Linked DNA regions of Cricetulus griseus. The protein of the gene in region 2 interacts with the protein of the main gene of each other region in a pairwise test. Links are inferred from orthologs where the notes say so. Each region holds a gene or a part of one and is shown on either strand. Other genes may lie near its edges.

Evidence for each region. The genes of interacting proteins can lie anywhere in the genome.
Region 1: the proteins of Efemp2 (region 2) and Ubqln1 interact in binary tests that used the Homo sapiens proteins (3 or more experiments, as listed by UniProt). The link is inferred for Cricetulus griseus from reciprocal best matches to the Homo sapiens genes EFEMP2 and UBQLN1.
Region 3: the proteins of Efemp2 (region 2) and Stk16 interact in binary tests that used the Homo sapiens proteins (3 or more experiments, as listed by UniProt). The two-hybrid records come from large-scale screens. The link is inferred for Cricetulus griseus from reciprocal best matches to the Homo sapiens genes EFEMP2 and STK16.
Region 4: the proteins of Efemp2 (region 2) and nuclear fragile X mental retardation-interacting protein 2 interact in binary tests that used the Homo sapiens proteins (3 or more experiments, as listed by UniProt). The two-hybrid records come from large-scale screens. The link is inferred for Cricetulus griseus from reciprocal best matches to the Homo sapiens genes EFEMP2 and NUFIP2.

Annotation. Positions count from the first base shown.
Region 1 is NC_048596.1:277,235,694-277,239,777, reverse strand, and holds the start of Ubqln1 (ubiquilin-1), read left to right. Parts: upstream 1-1,284; coding exon 1,285-1,440; intron 1,441-4,084. Other genes in the region: translation initiation factor IF-2-like, read right to left, coding at 257-994, 1,038-1,286. UniProt on the Homo sapiens protein: Plays an important role in the regulation of different protein degradation mechanisms and pathways including ubiquitin-proteasome system (UPS), autophagy and endoplasmic reticulum-associated protein degradation (ERAD) pathway.
Region 2 is NC_048596.1:53,864,090-53,868,235, reverse strand, and holds the start of Efemp2 (EGF-containing fibulin-like extracellular matrix protein 2 precursor), read left to right. Parts: upstream 1-1,346; 5' UTR 1,347-1,636; coding exon 1,637-1,747; intron 1,748-1,983; coding exon 1,984-2,032; intron 2,033-2,649; coding exon 2,650-2,856; intron 2,857-4,146. UniProt on the Homo sapiens protein: Plays a crucial role in elastic fiber formation in tissue, and in the formation of ultrastructural connections between elastic laminae and smooth muscle cells in the aorta, therefore participates in terminal differentiation and maturation of smooth muscle cell (SMC) and in the mechanical properties and wall integrity maintenance of the aorta.
Region 3 is NC_048595.1:428,365,353-428,369,381, forward strand, and holds the start of Stk16 (serine/threonine-protein kinase 16), read left to right. Parts: upstream 1-1,229; 5' UTR 1,230-1,420; intron 1,421-1,607; 5' UTR 1,608-1,696; coding exon 1,697-1,782; intron 1,783-2,319; coding exon 2,320-2,539; intron 2,540-2,812; coding exon 2,813-2,946; intron 2,947-3,095; coding exon 3,096-3,216; intron 3,217-3,341; coding exon 3,342-3,437; intron 3,438-3,803; coding exon 3,804-3,925; intron 3,926-4,029. UniProt on the Homo sapiens protein: Membrane-associated protein kinase that phosphorylates on serine and threonine residues. In vitro substrates include DRG1, ENO1 and EIF4EBP1. Also autophosphorylates. May be involved in secretory vesicle trafficking or intracellular signaling.
Region 4 is NC_048600.1:91,081,928-91,085,898, forward strand, and holds the start of nuclear fragile X mental retardation-interacting protein 2, read left to right. Parts: upstream 1-1,171; 5' UTR 1,172-1,266; coding exon 1,267-1,573; intron 1,574-3,971. UniProt on the Homo sapiens protein: Binds RNA.

The DNA.
Region 1 (4,084 bases), about 220 Mb from region 2:
CGTCTTGCAATTTACACCGCCGCCGCAACTCTGACCCAGATTTCAAAGGGCTCTGCTAAGACGTGTTTATGCAACAGCAGTTAATCACGGAAAAGGGTTCGATGGCCTAAGAGCAAAAATATGGGATGTCTTTGCGTATTTGGGTCACGGTGCTCTGTCAGCGCTCACCTTGGTGCAGCACCAGCTAGTGTGCCAAGTGCCACAATGTATCGCAAGTTATGGATGGCGTGGGGGTCACGGCTGAAACGGAAATAACTTAACTGGACCTACGTTCTCCACTGGGGTTACCCCGGAGGGCACCTCGGGCCTGGGGGGGGGGGGGCGCAGTAACTTTGGACCGCGTCCTGGAGGCGCACACGAGCCCCAGGCTGCAGCCCACCCGTGGAGCGGCCCGCCCTGGGCACCCGCGTCTGCCGCGCACAGCGTGGAAGGCGGAGCAGGGCGGCCGTGTGTCCGGCCTGGCTCCGGGGACGGGGCCGCGGCCTCCCTGCACCCACGCCTGCGGGCTGTGGGCCCCGCGCTGGCGCTGGCGCTGGCGCTGCCCCGCGTCCGTTCCCGTCTCCGCGCCCGCCCGCGGTGGCGCAGCTCCAGCGGGGCCCAGAGCCGGGCGGGCGGCCCCAGCCCCTTCCGCCCGGGCACACGCTGCGCTCCTCAGAACCAAGTGCCCGCGCGGGCCGCCGGCCACCGGGGCCGGGTCGGGGGACACCGGGAGCGCAGGCCCAGCGGGCCAGGCCGCTTCCAGCAAGTTCGCCGCCGGCCGTGACGTCATTTCAGGGCGCCGCGGCGGCGCCCCGCAGAGACCCCGGGGAGCGGCTCCCGACGCAGCGGGGGCGATGAAGCGAACCGAGTTAACTCGCTGTCCCCTTCCCCCTGCCGCCGCCGCGGCTGCCTTGGAGCCGGAGGAGCCCGCGCCCCTCGTCAGCCCGGCGGCGGCGCGCGGCGGCGGCAGGCGTGAGGCGGGCGAGGACTCGGCTTCCCGGCGTGCCCCGCGCCCCTGAGTCGGCGCGGCGGCCAGCGCGTTACCCAGCGTGCCCTGCGCGGCGCCGGCGACGGACGTGGGGGAGGTGCGGGAGGAGGAAGCGGCGGCGGCGGCGGCGGCGCGGCGACGCGGAGACGGCAGCCGAGCCATCGATCGCCCGCCCGGGCCCGCACCGCACCGCACCGCACCGCAGCCCGTGCCCGCGCGCCCTCGGCGGCCCCGCCGCAGCCCGTGCCCGCTCCGCTCCGCCGCGCCGCGCCGAGCCGGCCGCAGCCCGCAGGGTCCCGGTCGCCTGAGTCACCGCCATGGCCGAGAGCGCCGAGAGCGGCGGCCCCCCGGGCGCGCAGGACGCAGCCGCGGCCGACGGCGGCCCCGCGGAGCCCAAGATCATGAAGGTCACGGTGAAGACGCCCAAGGAGAAGGAGGAGTTCGCTGTGCCCGAGGACAGCTCGGTCCAGCAGGTGAGGCCCCGGGGCGCCGGGGCGCCGGGGCGGGGAGGGCGGCCGGGCCCGGCCCTGCGGGGCTCTGCGGGGCTCTGCGGGGCCGGGGGAGGGCGAGCGGCGGCCGCCGAGCTCCGGGCCTCGGCTCCTGACAAAGGAGCGGGCGGGCAGGGCGCGGGCGGCGCTCGCTCGGCCTCTGTGGCCCGGCTGGCGGGGCGGCGGGGCGGTGAGGTGAGGCGGGCGGGGCCCGGTGGGGGTCATTGTTTCACCTGCCGGCGAATCGCAGAGATTTGGGGGTGAGGAGCACGTGCAGGCTGCGTTCTGTGTTGTGTGTCCCCCCCACACCTTTCAGCCTTTTATTATATATACGCTATTATATATATACATATATATTTAAAATTGTGACGTGGAGATCGCTTTCAGTCAGCCTGGTGATAAGCTCACGCCCGAGGGAGAAAAGTCAAAGACTTTGATTCACGGACGACTCGCTGTTTCTGTCTCAATAACCTTCGTCATCGCCCAGCCGCTCGCCCGCTCGCCGGCTCGCCCGCCCGTCACGGGGCAGGTTATTGTTCGACTCCAGGGGGACGAGAGCCATACCTACCTGCCGGGGTGTTAGGTGGTTGCCGCCGGACGCAAGAAAACAGAATTGGTGTTAACGGGGAGTCTTACTAAACAAATAATCGCTTTAAATCCCGTTCAGGGAAAGCAAATTTTGCAGCTAATTAAGAGCCCCTGGTAAAAGTTAGCAGATTTATCTGTTTAGCACGTTCTAGAGCACTCGGATTGTTGACAGTCTCAACATCGTGGACGGTTTTGTGCGAGGACGCAATTAACAGGCACTGGAATGTGCCTTTAGGTTCTCTGAACGTTTATCTAGTTCCAAAGGTGAAGTCGTTTTTTTTTTTTTTTTTTGTTTTTGTTTTTTTTTTGTGAAACAGGAGGGTGTGTGGCATCAGCTGAGGGAACTACTGTTGACTGAATCACCATTCCTTGTTAACGCTGCTGTAAAAGGTTGAACGTCTTTGTGTTTTCCAGCATGTGTGTGCCTCACCCACGATTGACATTTTCCTGCACTTGCTGTGTTATGCGTCCCTTATTTCTAAAATACATTTTTAAGGTGTAAATACCGATATCGGTATCACCTTACAAGGCACGTAAGCCGTGTGCGTGTTAGTTAACTTGAAAACCACTGTTGTGGAAATTTATTCCACATAAATTTGATGTGCACGTGGGTGCCTTAGCCAGTTTTCACAAACCCATCTACACCTGTGCCAGCCAAGCACACAACTAGGTGTGGCCTGTTAGAGCTGACTTGAAAGCTTTTGTCTCACCTTCTCTTTAAAGAAGTCACTCTTTGTCACCCCCGTGGGGATTTTTTTTTCCCCCACCAGAGATTGATTTTGCCTGTCCAGAAGTTCACATACGCAGAGTTGTATATAATGAAATCTTTTGGGAAAGACTTTTTTTCTTTCCCTCTTCAGCATATTTTTGAGATTCATCCTTGTGAATGTTTGTACCCCTCCCACCCCAGATGTTTGCATACTAGGCACAGGCTCCACTCTACCACTGACCCATGTCCCCAGCTCAGTACCTAACTGCTCTGTGGTTTTCCATAGCATGCATATGCCACAATCTACTGTCCAGGGTCTTTCTCAATTGTAGTTGCTGTGAACAGTCGCATATAAATCATTTTGACAATATATGCCTTTATCTGCATTAGAATGCTTCTGTTTACTTTTTGAGTTTTGTTGTGGTGCTGTTTTGGTTTTTCAAGACAAGAGTTTCTCTGTGAAACAGCCTTGGGTGTCCTGGAACTCTATAGTCCAGCTCAGAGATCCACTTGCCTCTGCCTCCCTAGTGCTGGGATTAAAGGCCTGTGCCAGCATGCCCTGCTATTTTGTTTGTTTTATTTTGAGACAGTGTTTCATTATGTAGCCCCAGCTGTCCTGGAACTTGCTTTGTAGACCAGGCTGACTTGGATCTCACAAGTGCTGGGATGGATTGAGGGCTTGCGCCACCTCATCTGGCCAGTTCTGTTTAGTTTTATAAGACACAACCAACAGCATATGGGTGTGTATTTCTCTTGTTCTGTATCCTTGCTAATATTTGCTATGTACAAGGTTTTTTTGTTTGTTTGTTTTTATTTTTTATTGTAGCTGTTTAATGAATGTGTAGCGATAATAAATCATGAAGCTCTTGAGTCTAAGATTCCCAGCTTAAATTTCCATCCTGACAGCTTCCCCATTTTATTTCAGGACTTTAGAAATATAATAAATGAAAAAATTATTTATGTGAAGATTTGTAAGATTTTTTTTTAAAGAGTGACACTAAAGTTTTAAATTCCGTAGAAGTTTATATTTCACTATGCTGTAACTAAAAATGATTTAATGGGTAAAAGTAAAACCTTCCTAAAGTAACTTACTCTGATATTGCTTAATGTTTAAAGCTTTCTCTGTTTTCTGTGGAAACAGAAAATGTGATGAAAGTTGAAAGCTTACCCCTGTACCACAAACGGAAAACACATCAAACTGCTGAGTGAGTCAGGGGAGCAGACTTAGAAACATGTACAAAAAAAATATAAAACTATTTGTAGCACAAGACAAGGTCTACCATTTTGTAACTTAATTTTTCTTATAGAATTTAGTAGGTTTGATATTTACTA
Region 2 (4,146 bases):
GGAGGTCCTGGGAGGTGGAGACGGGCAGAAATAGTGAACTCTAGATTCAGTGACACAATATCCTACACTGGTACGTAGGCACACAGGGATATACTACATATAGACAAGTCCTTGAAATGAGGCAAATACATTTTTTAAATCATGGCAGAGCTGGGCATGGTGACACACGCGTTTCATCCCAGCACCTGGGAGGCAAGAGGCAGGTGGATCTACATAGTGAGTTCCAGGACAGCCAGAACTACTTGTGAGAACCTGTCTCGAAAAGATAAAACAAAGAAAGAAAGACTGGAAAGAGGTTGGGTAAGGGAAAGGAAGGTCAGGCTATTGCCGTAACCAGCAAGGGCCAGGCAAGGGAACCCTGGACACGCAGTCCTTTCCCGTCTAGTCCCGCCCTGAGACGTGGGCAACGCGAAGTCCCGCCCATTCGCCCCTTCCTGGGAGCCGGAGGCACACCGGCTCCTCCCTCAAGGCATGATCTTTGCTGGGGACCAAGACGGAAACTGGGTGGGGGACCTGAAGGGAAAGAGGGTCGGAAAAGGGCTGGCAGTGGGCCCTAGTGTCCTCTGCGCCCAAGTTCAAGTTTGCCAGTTTCTCGGGGGTTCCATTCATTTCGGGCCAAGACGACAGCTGCCCTCACCCCCACATTAGCGTAGCTTTGTGCAGGCAGGCTCCGGGGAAGCAGTGCCCTGAGTAGAGCGACCACCTGGAGGCCGCGGAGCTCATGGCCGGAGGGAGAGGGACAATTAACTTTATGTCCGGAAACCTTGGATGAATGTTTGAGACCATCTAACTGATGATGTGGGGAGCACAGGATAAAATTCTGCAAGTAGTAGGATTTGGAGGTTTGAGAAAATAAGTGGCGAGTAGGTTCTGAGAGGCGCAGATTCAGGGTCTGGGTGTTTAGCTACAGCTGAGGTGCGAGTGCACACTCAGGGATTCTAGAGGACCAGGTTGGATAGGGTCTAGGTGGCTAGGACAACATTTTGAATGAGGGCCCGGGGTCCCCAGGTGAATTTGGGGGCCAAACATCAAGGTCAGTGGCCCCGGGACCCAAGCGTTAGGGAACTCTGGCTGGGCGCCCGCAGGCGCCTCCAGGCGGCGCCGCGGGGGACCGGGTGGGGGCCTGTGGCCGGCCCGGGGTGGAGAAGCCGGGGGGTCGGGGTCCCTCCCCCTGGCGCGGGCTCAGGAATCCGCCGAAGGGCGGGCGGAGGCGCCGGGGTGGGCCGCGGCGGGCGGGCGGGCGGGCGGGCGGGCGGGCGGGGGCGCTTCCTGGGGCCGCGCGTCCAGCGAGCTGCGCGGTCCGGTCCGTCCGTCCGCCCGCAGGCACTGCCGGAGTCAACGAGTGAGTGGCCGCCAGCGGAGGGAGGGCGCGGGCCGTGTCGCGGCCGGGTCCGCGCTACGCCAAGCCGAGAGGCCTGCGCTCCACGACTCGCGGGGCGGGGGCGGGGCGGTCCGGGATTGCGGGCCTGCGAGCCCCAGGCCTGCGAAAGGACTCGGCCCCCAACTCTGGAAGGCTCCGGTGCTCCCAGCACAGTTCTGAGACAGCCGGGAATCCAGTGTCCCCTTCCTGATACAGGGAATGGGGGGTGTCGTGGCAGAGGCCCCTGACCCCTGCCCACTACCTCCCAGCCCCAGGATGCTCCCTTTTGCCTCCTGCCTTCCCGGGTCTTTACTGCTCTGGGCGCTCCTGCTGTTGCTCTTGGGAGCAGCGTCTCCACAGGATTCGGAAGAGCCGGACAGCTACACGGTGGGGACCAGCTTGGGATGGGATGGGATGGGATGGGATGGGATGGGATGGGATGGGATGGGAAGGACCAGGATCTTGGGGTGCCTGGGGAAGACTCTCCTCTGCTTGGTTGGTGGAAGACTGGGAGTCATTGTGTGAATTGACCCGAGCATAACTGAGCTCAGGCCCTGGCCTTGTTCTGGCTAGTTGGAGGAGACTTCCAGAGTGGTCACTGGCCACTTGGGGTCCCCTTCCAGGAATGTACAGATGGCTATGAGTGGGACGCAGACAGCCAGCACTGCCGGGGTGAGTATGCCTGGGATACTAGCCATTTTCAGGAACTGGGAAGGCAACTATTGTTTCCCAGGGATAACCTGGCTCCTAGACCAGCTGCAGGAACCTAATGGCCTTTTCACTGTCCAGCTTGGCTGAGCCAAAGCCAGCCACTCAATTAGGAGTCCTACCCCTTCAAGAAGTGCAATGAACTCTGCCTCTATTTGCAGTAGACAGGAGAGCACCTGGTGACTGCCCAGAGAAACGGAGATCTGCACACCTTCCGCCAACTGCCCTCTACTCTCCTAGCCCAGCTCTTTATCCCAGTGCAACCTGGGAGAGCAGTACACACTCTGTGGGTTTGGAGGCCTGCAAATTACTCTGGGGCAGAGGTAGAGGCAGGGTTTTGAGGAGGAATGGAAACTCACTTGGAGGCAGGAGAATAGGGACAACGGCGAAAATAGGTGGCCCTATCCCCAGTCCTGCAAATCACTGGGAGGGGTTCTGGGTCATCAGCCTTAATTTGCTGAGCAGAGAGAAAACCTTGCTCTGTTGCTCAGCTTAGAGAAGGCCAAGCTGGGATTCTGCCTCCCACTACCTCCAGGGCCAGCCCAGGTGACTGGCTGTGCCCAGCAGGCCCCTTTCTGCAGATGTCAACGAGTGCCTGACCATCCCCGAGGCCTGCAAGGGCGAAATGAAATGCATCAACCACTATGGGGGCTATTTGTGTCTGCCTCGATCTGCGGCTGTCATTAATGATCTACATGGCGAAGGCCCTCCACCACCAGTGCCCCCTGCTCAACACCCCAATCCTTGCCCACCAGGCTATGAACCTGATGAACAGGAGAGCTGTGTGGGTAAGTGGGAGCCATGCTGGCTGGCACCAATGCTTCCAGACCTCTTACATGTCTTTTTAAAATTAATTTTGTATTTAGTGTATAAAGTAAAAAGAAAAGTAAAAACCAAAAGAAAACAAAGGGGGGCGCTGGAGAGATGGCTTAGAGGTAAAGAGCACTGGCTGCTCTTCCAGAGGACCTGGGTTCAATTCCCAGCAACCACATGGTGGCTCACAACTGTCTGTAATTCTAATTCAGGGGACCTGGTACCCATGGCAAAACACCAATGCACATAAAATAAAAAAGTAAATTTAAAAATAAATAAAAGAAGCAAAGTGAAAGTTTTTAAAATCATGGTATCATTCTCCTGACACACTTCATATTTGTTCTCTCTCATTGTCCCTCCCTAGCACCTTGTTCTTCGAGATAGGATTTCTCTGTGTAGCCCTGGCTGTCCTGGAACTCACTCTGTAGTCCAGGTTGGCCTAGAACTTAGAGATCTGCCTGCCTCTGACTCCCTAGTGCTGAGTGCTGGGACTAAAGGTGTGTGCCACCACTGCAGGACTGTGTACTTTGTTTTTTGAGACAGAGTCTCTGGGTTTGATCCCCAGCACACACTTGTAATCCCACCACCAGGGAGGTAGAGAAAAGAAGATTGGAAGTTAAAGGTTACCTCAGTTGCATAAGGAGTTTGAGGCCACCCTGAGCTACATGAGAGCCTATCTCAAAAGCAGTAACTAACATAAATAAAGTAATTTTCCACACTAAATACCGCAGACCTCATGTTCCTTCCTTGCTGAGAGAAGCCTCTGGCTCCTCAGAGAAACATCTGAACCCTCACCTGCAGCAGGCCTGGTGCATGGTCTGCTGGCCCAGGAAGTCCCCAGCAGCTCCCTCACTTCCTGTGCAGACATGCTAGAGCTCTGCTCCCAGCCTCTTGCCAGCTCTTTATCAGGTCTCGGCCTTGGAAACCGCTGGCTTTGGAGGAGGGAAGATCCTGGTCTAGAGTCAGCTGAGGGTGTGAATGGACAACGCCTCATTTATTTTTAAGCCAGTTCTAGCTGGCTTGGAACTCTATAGCTCTGGCTGGCTTGGAACTCAGAGGGATCCTCCTGCTTCTGCCTCCTGGGTGTTAGAATTAAAAGTGTGTGCCACCAGACCTGACAAGGCCTTGTTTTATATGCTCAGCTAATGGGTGCTTTTCCTGGTGGACTGTTTTCTTGTGCTGTTGGGAGGACCTATATCCTATCTTCATATTTTGGTGCCAGCTACCCATGTGCCCATGTGAATGAAGTCTGGTGTGAGCCACCT
Region 3 (4,029 bases), on a different chromosome or scaffold from region 2:
TCATCAACAGCACCTGGGAGCTTGTTAGAAATGCAGAGTCCTGGGTCCTACCCAAGACCATAGAATCAGAATCTATATTTTAATAAAGTGCCTTGCTCTTCTATACTGAACTCTCTGAGGACTTGTGTCTTGAATCTTTATGACTAGCAAAGGATCTGGCACATATCAGGTTAAATCCATATAAGTAGCAACAGAACGAAGGGCTAAAAACAGGTGCAGAAACAGTGAAAAACGTAAAAAAAAAAAAAAAAAAAAAAACTTCATGGTGATCATGACTATGGAAAAGGAAAACTGGGCTACAAGGAGTCTATTTGCCCCCCCCCCTCTTGAGTGTGCACCCCTTCCCAACATATCTGCCTATCTAGGCAAAAGATGTGAAAACAACTGCGTAATGCAAAGGCTTGGAAATCCAATTTTCCATGTCTCCTGCCTTCACAGCTGTAGATGTGAGAATCAGGGTAGAAAATACAACAATTTCTGTTTAGCAACACACCTTGAAGGCTATGTGTCAGATACTGTATGAACGATGTTTCATTTAATCTTGAAAAAACCCGTGGAATAATTATCATTCTCATCTTACAGATGAGGAAAATGAATTAAGTGGCTGTCCAAAGTCACATTTAGTTCAATAGAACTGGGATTGCAGCTAGTCAGTTTGGCCTCACAATTCACAACACATTGCCCTAGGTACTACTGTCTTACAGGTGGGAAGAGTGAAGACCTGAGAGGCTAAATCACTTCCTGGAGGTCACGCAGCTAGGAGACTATTAGGACCAGATTTAGAAACCGGCACTCTGTTTCAAAGGCGCACTCCGGACTCTAGCTAAGGCAATGGAACACAGGCTAGAGGCTTGAAAGTGTTAACCGGATCAGACGTCCAGGCTTATAAGGGCCAGGACCCACCCCTCCCTGGGCCCTCCTCCAAGCTAGACTGCAGTAGGCCACTTTCTGACTCCTACCTCCGACATTGGGGGACGGAGGTCCTAGGGGCCTCAGGCAGAGCCCGGCTTTGCTCCCCTTTGGTACAAGTCCCTGCGTCTTGACCCTTCCTGAAGGCCAAGTGGGAACCCTCAGCGAGATACAGAAACCATTCCACCCCCCAGCCGGGCCCCTGCCTCTCACTTCCGGGTCCCCATAGCCTCTTGCTGCCTCTTGTTGCTAGGATACAGAGGGCCGTTACTTCGGCGCGGACTGATGATGTCACCGTGGCTTCCGGTCCCTGGCCCTTTGCTCAGGCCCGAGCCTGATCAGTGAAGAGTCTTCTGTACTGGCAGACCCTGGGCTCGGTCCCGGGCGACGGAGGGTAGGATCAGCCAGAGGTGGGCTCGAGTCCCGCACCTCCTGCGCAGCCACCCCATGCCCGACGGGCGTGAGAGCGGGACCTGGCCGAAGGTGTGCCGGGGTTGAAAGAAGCGGCCTGGTAAGACGCAGCGTGGCTTGACGCTTTGAAGCGCCAGAACTCAGCCTTCTTAGCGCTGGAGTCGCCGGGGCCTGTTTGCTTTAAGACGTGAATCTCGGTTCCAGGAGCTGGACCTGAGCTCTCCGTATTGGTACCCCAGTGGCTCTCAGGATTGTTCTTGACCCTCGACCTGCTGTTTTCATTCCAGCATGCTCCGCTGGGCCCCCAGCCCATTGCCTGGAAGAGCCCACTCTCCCTGGAAGAAAGACCATCCTTGAAGAGGATGACTGAGACGTTATGGGCCACGCACTGTGTGTCTGCTCCCGGGGAACTGTCATCATTGATAATAAGCGTTACCTCTTCATCCAGAAATTGGGGGAGGGGTGAGTGTTTGGAAGTCACTTAGCTAGTCCCAGGTCATTTAGGGACAATAGTCAGCATGTGATAGAGACGCTAGAGTATTAGCCTTAGATTCTACCTCACCCGACTTAGTTGAATGGGTCAAGAAAGTGGAATCTGTACCCTGGCCTTCTGGATCCACCTTGTGTGACCTTAAGTAAATGGTTTCTTTATCTGCTTAATAGAGATTTCTCATTGAGGGGCTGGTGAGAACTGTGATAGTATATTTTTTAAAACATGTCACCCCGTGACTGGCTCATAAACACCTGATAGATGTTTGTTGCTACTTGATATTAATTGAATGTCTTGTACTCAGACCATGGAACCTCAATGATTTCTGTGTCCCTGCTCTTGAGGAGCTCAAACCCTAAATCTTGAAGCTATATGAGAGCCACATCTTGGGAGGGTTTCTCCTCCATGTGAGAGGCATGGAGTAGAAATTCCCTCCCCAAGGGAATGCCTCTGGGTCCAAGCCATGTGGGAGATGACCATGGTCCTTCACTGACCCCTTTGGCCCACAGTGGGTTCAGCTATGTGGACCTAGTGGAGGGGTTACATGATGGACACTTCTACGCCCTGAAGCGAATCCTGTGTCATGAGCAGCAGGACCAGGACGAGGCCCAGAGAGAGGCGGACATGCATCGCCTCTTCCACCATCCCAACATCCTTCGCCTCGTGGCTTACTGTTTGAAAGAACGAGGTGCTAAGCATGAAGCCTGGCTCCTGCTACCCTTCTTCAAGGTCAGAAAGGCTGCTGGTTACAGAGGGGATTGTAATAGATTTCACAGTCCTCCCAAGGGCTCTGTGGGTAGTCATACATAAACACGATAGGATCACATGTCCTGGTTTGGGCCATTTTAAATTTGGGGCTTATAGGACCAATGGGTCCAATATGAATTCGACATCCCACAGAGCCCTGGATGACCAGTATCCGACCTTGACACAGAATAGAAATGAGTCCCAGGTAGTAGGGACTTTAAAAAACTTCTCAGCACAGGAAAATTTGTGTTGTAGAGAGGTACACTGTGGAATGAGATAGAAAGACTGAAGGACCAAGGCAACTTCCTGACTGAAGACCAAATCCTTCCGTTGTTGCTGGGTATCTGCAGAGGCCTTGAGGCCATTCATGCCAAAGGTTATGCGCACAGGTCAGTGGGAGGGCCCTATGCACTTATTGGCACCCAGGCGATGAGCTGTGTCAAGAGAATTGGGATATGTCTGCATTCTCCCATGGTGCTCCCTGGGATCCCAGCTTCCCTGTCCAGGATGCCCTCGGGTCATTTTCACTTCCCTCCAGGGACCTGAAGCCCACCAATATTTTGCTTGGTGATGAGGGGCAGCCAGTTTTAATGGACTTGGGGTCTATGAATCAAGCATGCATCCAGGTGGAGGGCTCACGCCAGGCCCTAGCTCTACAGGTAAGAGAGTCTCCAGGTTCCTTTGTCATTTTCCCCCCATCCCCAACTCATTCTGATGCATGCACCGATTTGGTCACATGATATGGCTTGTGCTCCACTTTTGAGCTCTGGGGACACTGTTCCAGGACTGGGCAGCCCAGCGGTGCACCATCTCCTACCGGGCACCTGAGCTTTTTTCTGTGCAGAGCCACTGTGTCATCGATGAGCGGACTGATGTCTGGGTGAGAAGCACGTGGGCAGGAACTTGGGTGGAGAAGGGTGTGGCTCTGTAGTCACTATGGAGCAGAGGGAAGGGGACCTTTGGTTTCTGTTGCATGGGACCCCAGAACCACAGTATGTCTCCATAGTTCTCCACTTCCTTCCTGGGAACCATCAGTGATACTGTTCTCAGGAAGTGGTGTCATCTCTGTGGCTGAACTGGGTCAACTGCTGGAGGCAATAGCTAAGCAGGGGCTGAAGAGGCCTCCTGCAAACACAGTTCCTTTGGGTGAGGTTGGCATATTTTTAGCTTAAATGGTCTCCTTTTACCATAGCAATAAATGGGATACCATTTTTCCTCTTCCAGAAACTAACCAAATTATGCTCAGTCCCTAGGCTGTGTGCTTTATGCCATGATGTTTGGGGAAGGCCCTTATGATATGGTGTTCCAGAAGGGTGACAGTGTGGCTCTTGCTGTGCAGAATGAACTCAGCATCCCACAAAGCCCCAGGTGAGCAGCAGGAGGGACACTAAGCACTGTAGACTATTGCCTAGAGCCAGCCAAGTTGGAATTTTAGCAACCTTAGTCTAGGCGTCCTCCTCCAGTCCTCTGCC
Region 4 (3,971 bases), on a different chromosome or scaffold from region 2:
ATGTAGTTTTAAGAAATAGCATATTGGCTTGGTGTGGTGGTGTAGGACTTTAATCCCAACACTCAGAAGGCAGAGGCAGGGGGATCTCTTAGTTGGAGTTCCAAGTCAATCTGGGTTACACAGACTGTTTCAAAAACAAACCAATCCAAAACAAGCAAACAACCCCTCCTGCCAAGACCCACAAAAATATATTTTGAGGATATTCTGTGTCTGTCATCACAACCCTCTTCCTACTATGAGTTGAATTAACTGCATAGAATGCAAATACATCTTTAAATTGCAATGTTTTCTGTAAATGCAAAACAAAAAGATGTAAAAATTAAAATCGTAAGAACTTTTAAAGGTGTACTTTCTCCCTTCCTTCACTCTTAAAATTCTTAATCTAAAACCTATTTTGGTTTCATAGTTGACCTTACCTGTAGTGTTTAATTAAAACAATACAAAACAAAAAAACCCTTCAGTATATATTTTTCATCCATCCCTCTTTCTTGCCTTCAACTACAAAGAAACAATGATTTAAGCCCTTTGTGCCCTTTTAGAAAATTACACAGATACCCCATTGTGGAACCCTATAATCCCTCCGTGGAAAGGAAGAGATTAGCATATGAATACAAAGCAAAATGAATCCAGAATACAAAAACGATCTATCGAGTTGTGAAGGTTTTGTATTCTTAAAATTGAATTTATTTCCTCTTTTGTATTGCCCCTTTCGTGGCCTAAGGGTTAAGGAAATTGAGCTTCCCCCTCTGCTCTGGTTACCCGGAAAAGGATTTAAAAAAAAAGAATCCAAAACCACACACACACACACACACCCCAACAGATTCTAGGAGGTGCAAAACCAACAGATGGCTCCTAGCGCCAGTAATCGTCCGTGGAATCTGCTACACTCGAAATCAGCTTGCTTGCCTGTGAGGAGTGTAGAAAGTGCTGTTCGCTAACTGCGTGGTGAAGGAGAGAAAGCGATAGAAGAGAGAGCCATAATGCTGACGTTGAAGGCCCGGCCCTGTGAGGTTGCATAGGGTAAGTGGCGTTGGCCAGGCGGCGGCGGCGAAGGGGAAGGGAAGAGGATTTGGGCTAGGGGCGGGGCTTGACGCGCAGCGTGGCTCCTGATTGCTGGAGGGCTGCTGCCAATCTTCCAGATCCGCTCGCTTAACCAGTGCGCTGGCGAGACGCGCTCAGATATACTGAGCGAGCGCTGAGAAGCAGTCTCAGATCCTGACGGTGCAGCAGCCTGCAGCCTCAGCCAGGGAGTCCCAGCCGCTTTCAATGGAGGAGAAGCCCGGCCAGCCACAGCCTCAGCACCATCACAGCCACCACCATCCGCACCATCACCCCCAGCAGCAGCAGCAGCAGCAACAGCAGCAGCAGCAGCAGCAGCAGTCGTCGCATCACCATCACCATTATTATTTCTACAACCACAGCCACAACCACCACCACCACCACCATCACCAGCAGCCTCACCAGTACCTGCAGCATGGAGCCGAGGGCAGCCCCAAGGCCCAGCCCAAGCCGCTGAAACATGAGCAGAAACACACCCTTCAGCAGCACCAGGAAACGCCGAAGAAGAAAACAGGTCTGGGAGGGAGGGCGGTGGGGGAAGGGGGGCTGGGGCTGGGGGGCCGACGAGGGGATGGGGGTGGGGCTAGATGTGAAAAGCGCGGACCCGGCCGGGGTGTGCGTCCCGCGGGGCCTGGGATGCCCCCTTTCATTCTTCCCGGGCGCGGGCCGCGAGGTGGGGATTGCAGCGCCCTCTCCTTCCCTTCAGCATGGGAGAGGCCCAAGCAGGCCAGCGTGACCTTCCCCGGCCCCCGCCCCGGCTGGAGGCAGACCTCTCTCTACGGTCGGCTTTGGAAGTCCACAACCTTATTTTTTTTCCCCCCTCCTCTTCTACGGCCCCGGAGTTGCCGGAATGTGGGGGGCCCTAAGAAGGGATCAAACTCGGCCGCCCGCAAAAAAAAAAAAAAAAATTCCCTCGAGGTGTATGTAATTCCGGCGGGCCTAGTGAATCCCGGCTCGGGTGGTGTCGCGAGACCCTCTTGCAGGCAGCGAGGAGCCGGGCTGAGGGCTGAGTTGAGGAAGCGTCCTCCCTCACCCGCCACCCAAGCCCACCTGTGGCCCTGGGGTTTGCTGTCTGGGGGGGGCGGCTGGGACCCCTTCTCCCCTCGAGTCATTTCACCCCTAAACGCCCCTTCCGGGCGCCGGACCCTGCTGTCTCTCCTCGAGGCTTCTCCGGAGGCCGGCGCCCCTGGCCCGCTCTCAGAGCCGGCGAGGCTGGAATGTTCTCTCCTCCTCGCGGGGCCGCTTCCTGTCCGCCATGTTGGAAGCCGATTCCTGTCACCGACTCGGGCCGGCTGAGGAGCGGAGGGGGGAAGGGTGCCCAAGGCCACACTGCACTCTGGGACCGAAGGCCCGGGACCCTCGGCGGCCATCGCCGGGTCCCCCGCACTGCGGGCGGCCGGCGCCCGCCGCCCCTCCCCCGCCTCGGTTTGGTGGCGGTTGGGTGGGGGAGGGAAGCGGCCACGAGGGGAGCGGCCTGCACCGTGGACCCGCGCGCCGACGGCCGCGTTTCCCGCTCCCGGGTGCGGCGGGAGGCGCGGGCGGCCCGGCCGGGCGGGGAGCCGGCCTAGAAGAGGAGCTTGAGGGGGAAGGAGGCCCGGGCGGCGGCCACGGCGTTCCGCTGGCCTTGGAGGGGCGAGGTGGGGGACTCATTTTCGGTAGAGGCGGTGCCTGAGGCCGGGTGGGGTACCCAGCGGGAACCAAGCTCCCGGGTCACGAGTTTCTCTGCCACAGGAATCTCATCTCCTGCCAGGTTCGCTCACGACTCCGCCTCAGCGGCTTTCACTTAGGCCTTTTTTCTTTCTAGCAGCGCCTTTCCTACCAAAAGAAGGGAAAACAACCTCTTAAACCTTGTTCCATCTGATTTCCACACAGCACCTAAACTTCTGGGCATGGGTAGTGGCTGCAGGGATTAGTCAAATACTTGATTTGGATGGACAACAGAGACAGTTTGGGTCCCCTATTATCTGGAAATGGCTTGTCCGTGAGGTTGGGTCAATACCATCTTACCTTGGACAATACTTTATGGTGATATTAAAGTGAAAGACATTTGCTGCATTTTAAAACCGATGTCGTTACCCAAACTGAATTTTATTTAACATGTTAAACGTAAAAGTCTTGAGGAAATACTTAAGAAATAAATGTCAAAATTTATATATTCGCAGATTAAAAGTTTATAAACTGAAGAGTAGTGAAGGGAATACTTGGAAGAAAAAATGTTAAACTCAGCATGTCATTTAAGCATTCAAGCAGTCACTGGTGAAAAACTTACTGTAGACAATGTAACTTTGAAGACAGATGCCGGATATCAGATTTTTTTTGTAAGGTGCAGTAGAAGTTAAGTGCTTAATTGTAAGGATCTAGAGCAGCCTAGAAAACTTAGGAATTATGTAACACTGCATTTTGGTTTTCAGAAAGTGGGGAAGTATTAAGGTTGTCAAATAATGGTACTTTTTAGATTTTAAATTTGTTTTATGAGGTTTATGTATTCCCCACAGGACTCATCATTTACAGTGATGCAGACCCTGAACCGTTGGAAGTGACACCCCTCAAAATATGTCTTAAGTTGGGATGAAGAATAAGGAGGGAAACTGTTGAGGGTTTGGGGGTGATCTGTCTTTCATGTATGTTTTGGTCACACAGTACTGTTGCTTCAATGGCTTTTTATGACCCATTACTCCCAAATCTTTGAGAAACTAGTTTTTTGAATCCAGAAGAGGGCACAAGAGAAGACAAAATGTGTTGAGTGGGTTGCAGTGGCAAATCCAAAGCTAGATTTGTCAGGACTCAAGTTTTGACTGAGTCCATTTGAAGTTGAGTTTGCATGGCAGCCCTAAATAAATGCTACAGATTTTTAATTTTTCAGGAATAACTACAGTCTTGACATTTTTCTTAAATGTTTAAGCTTTTAAAAA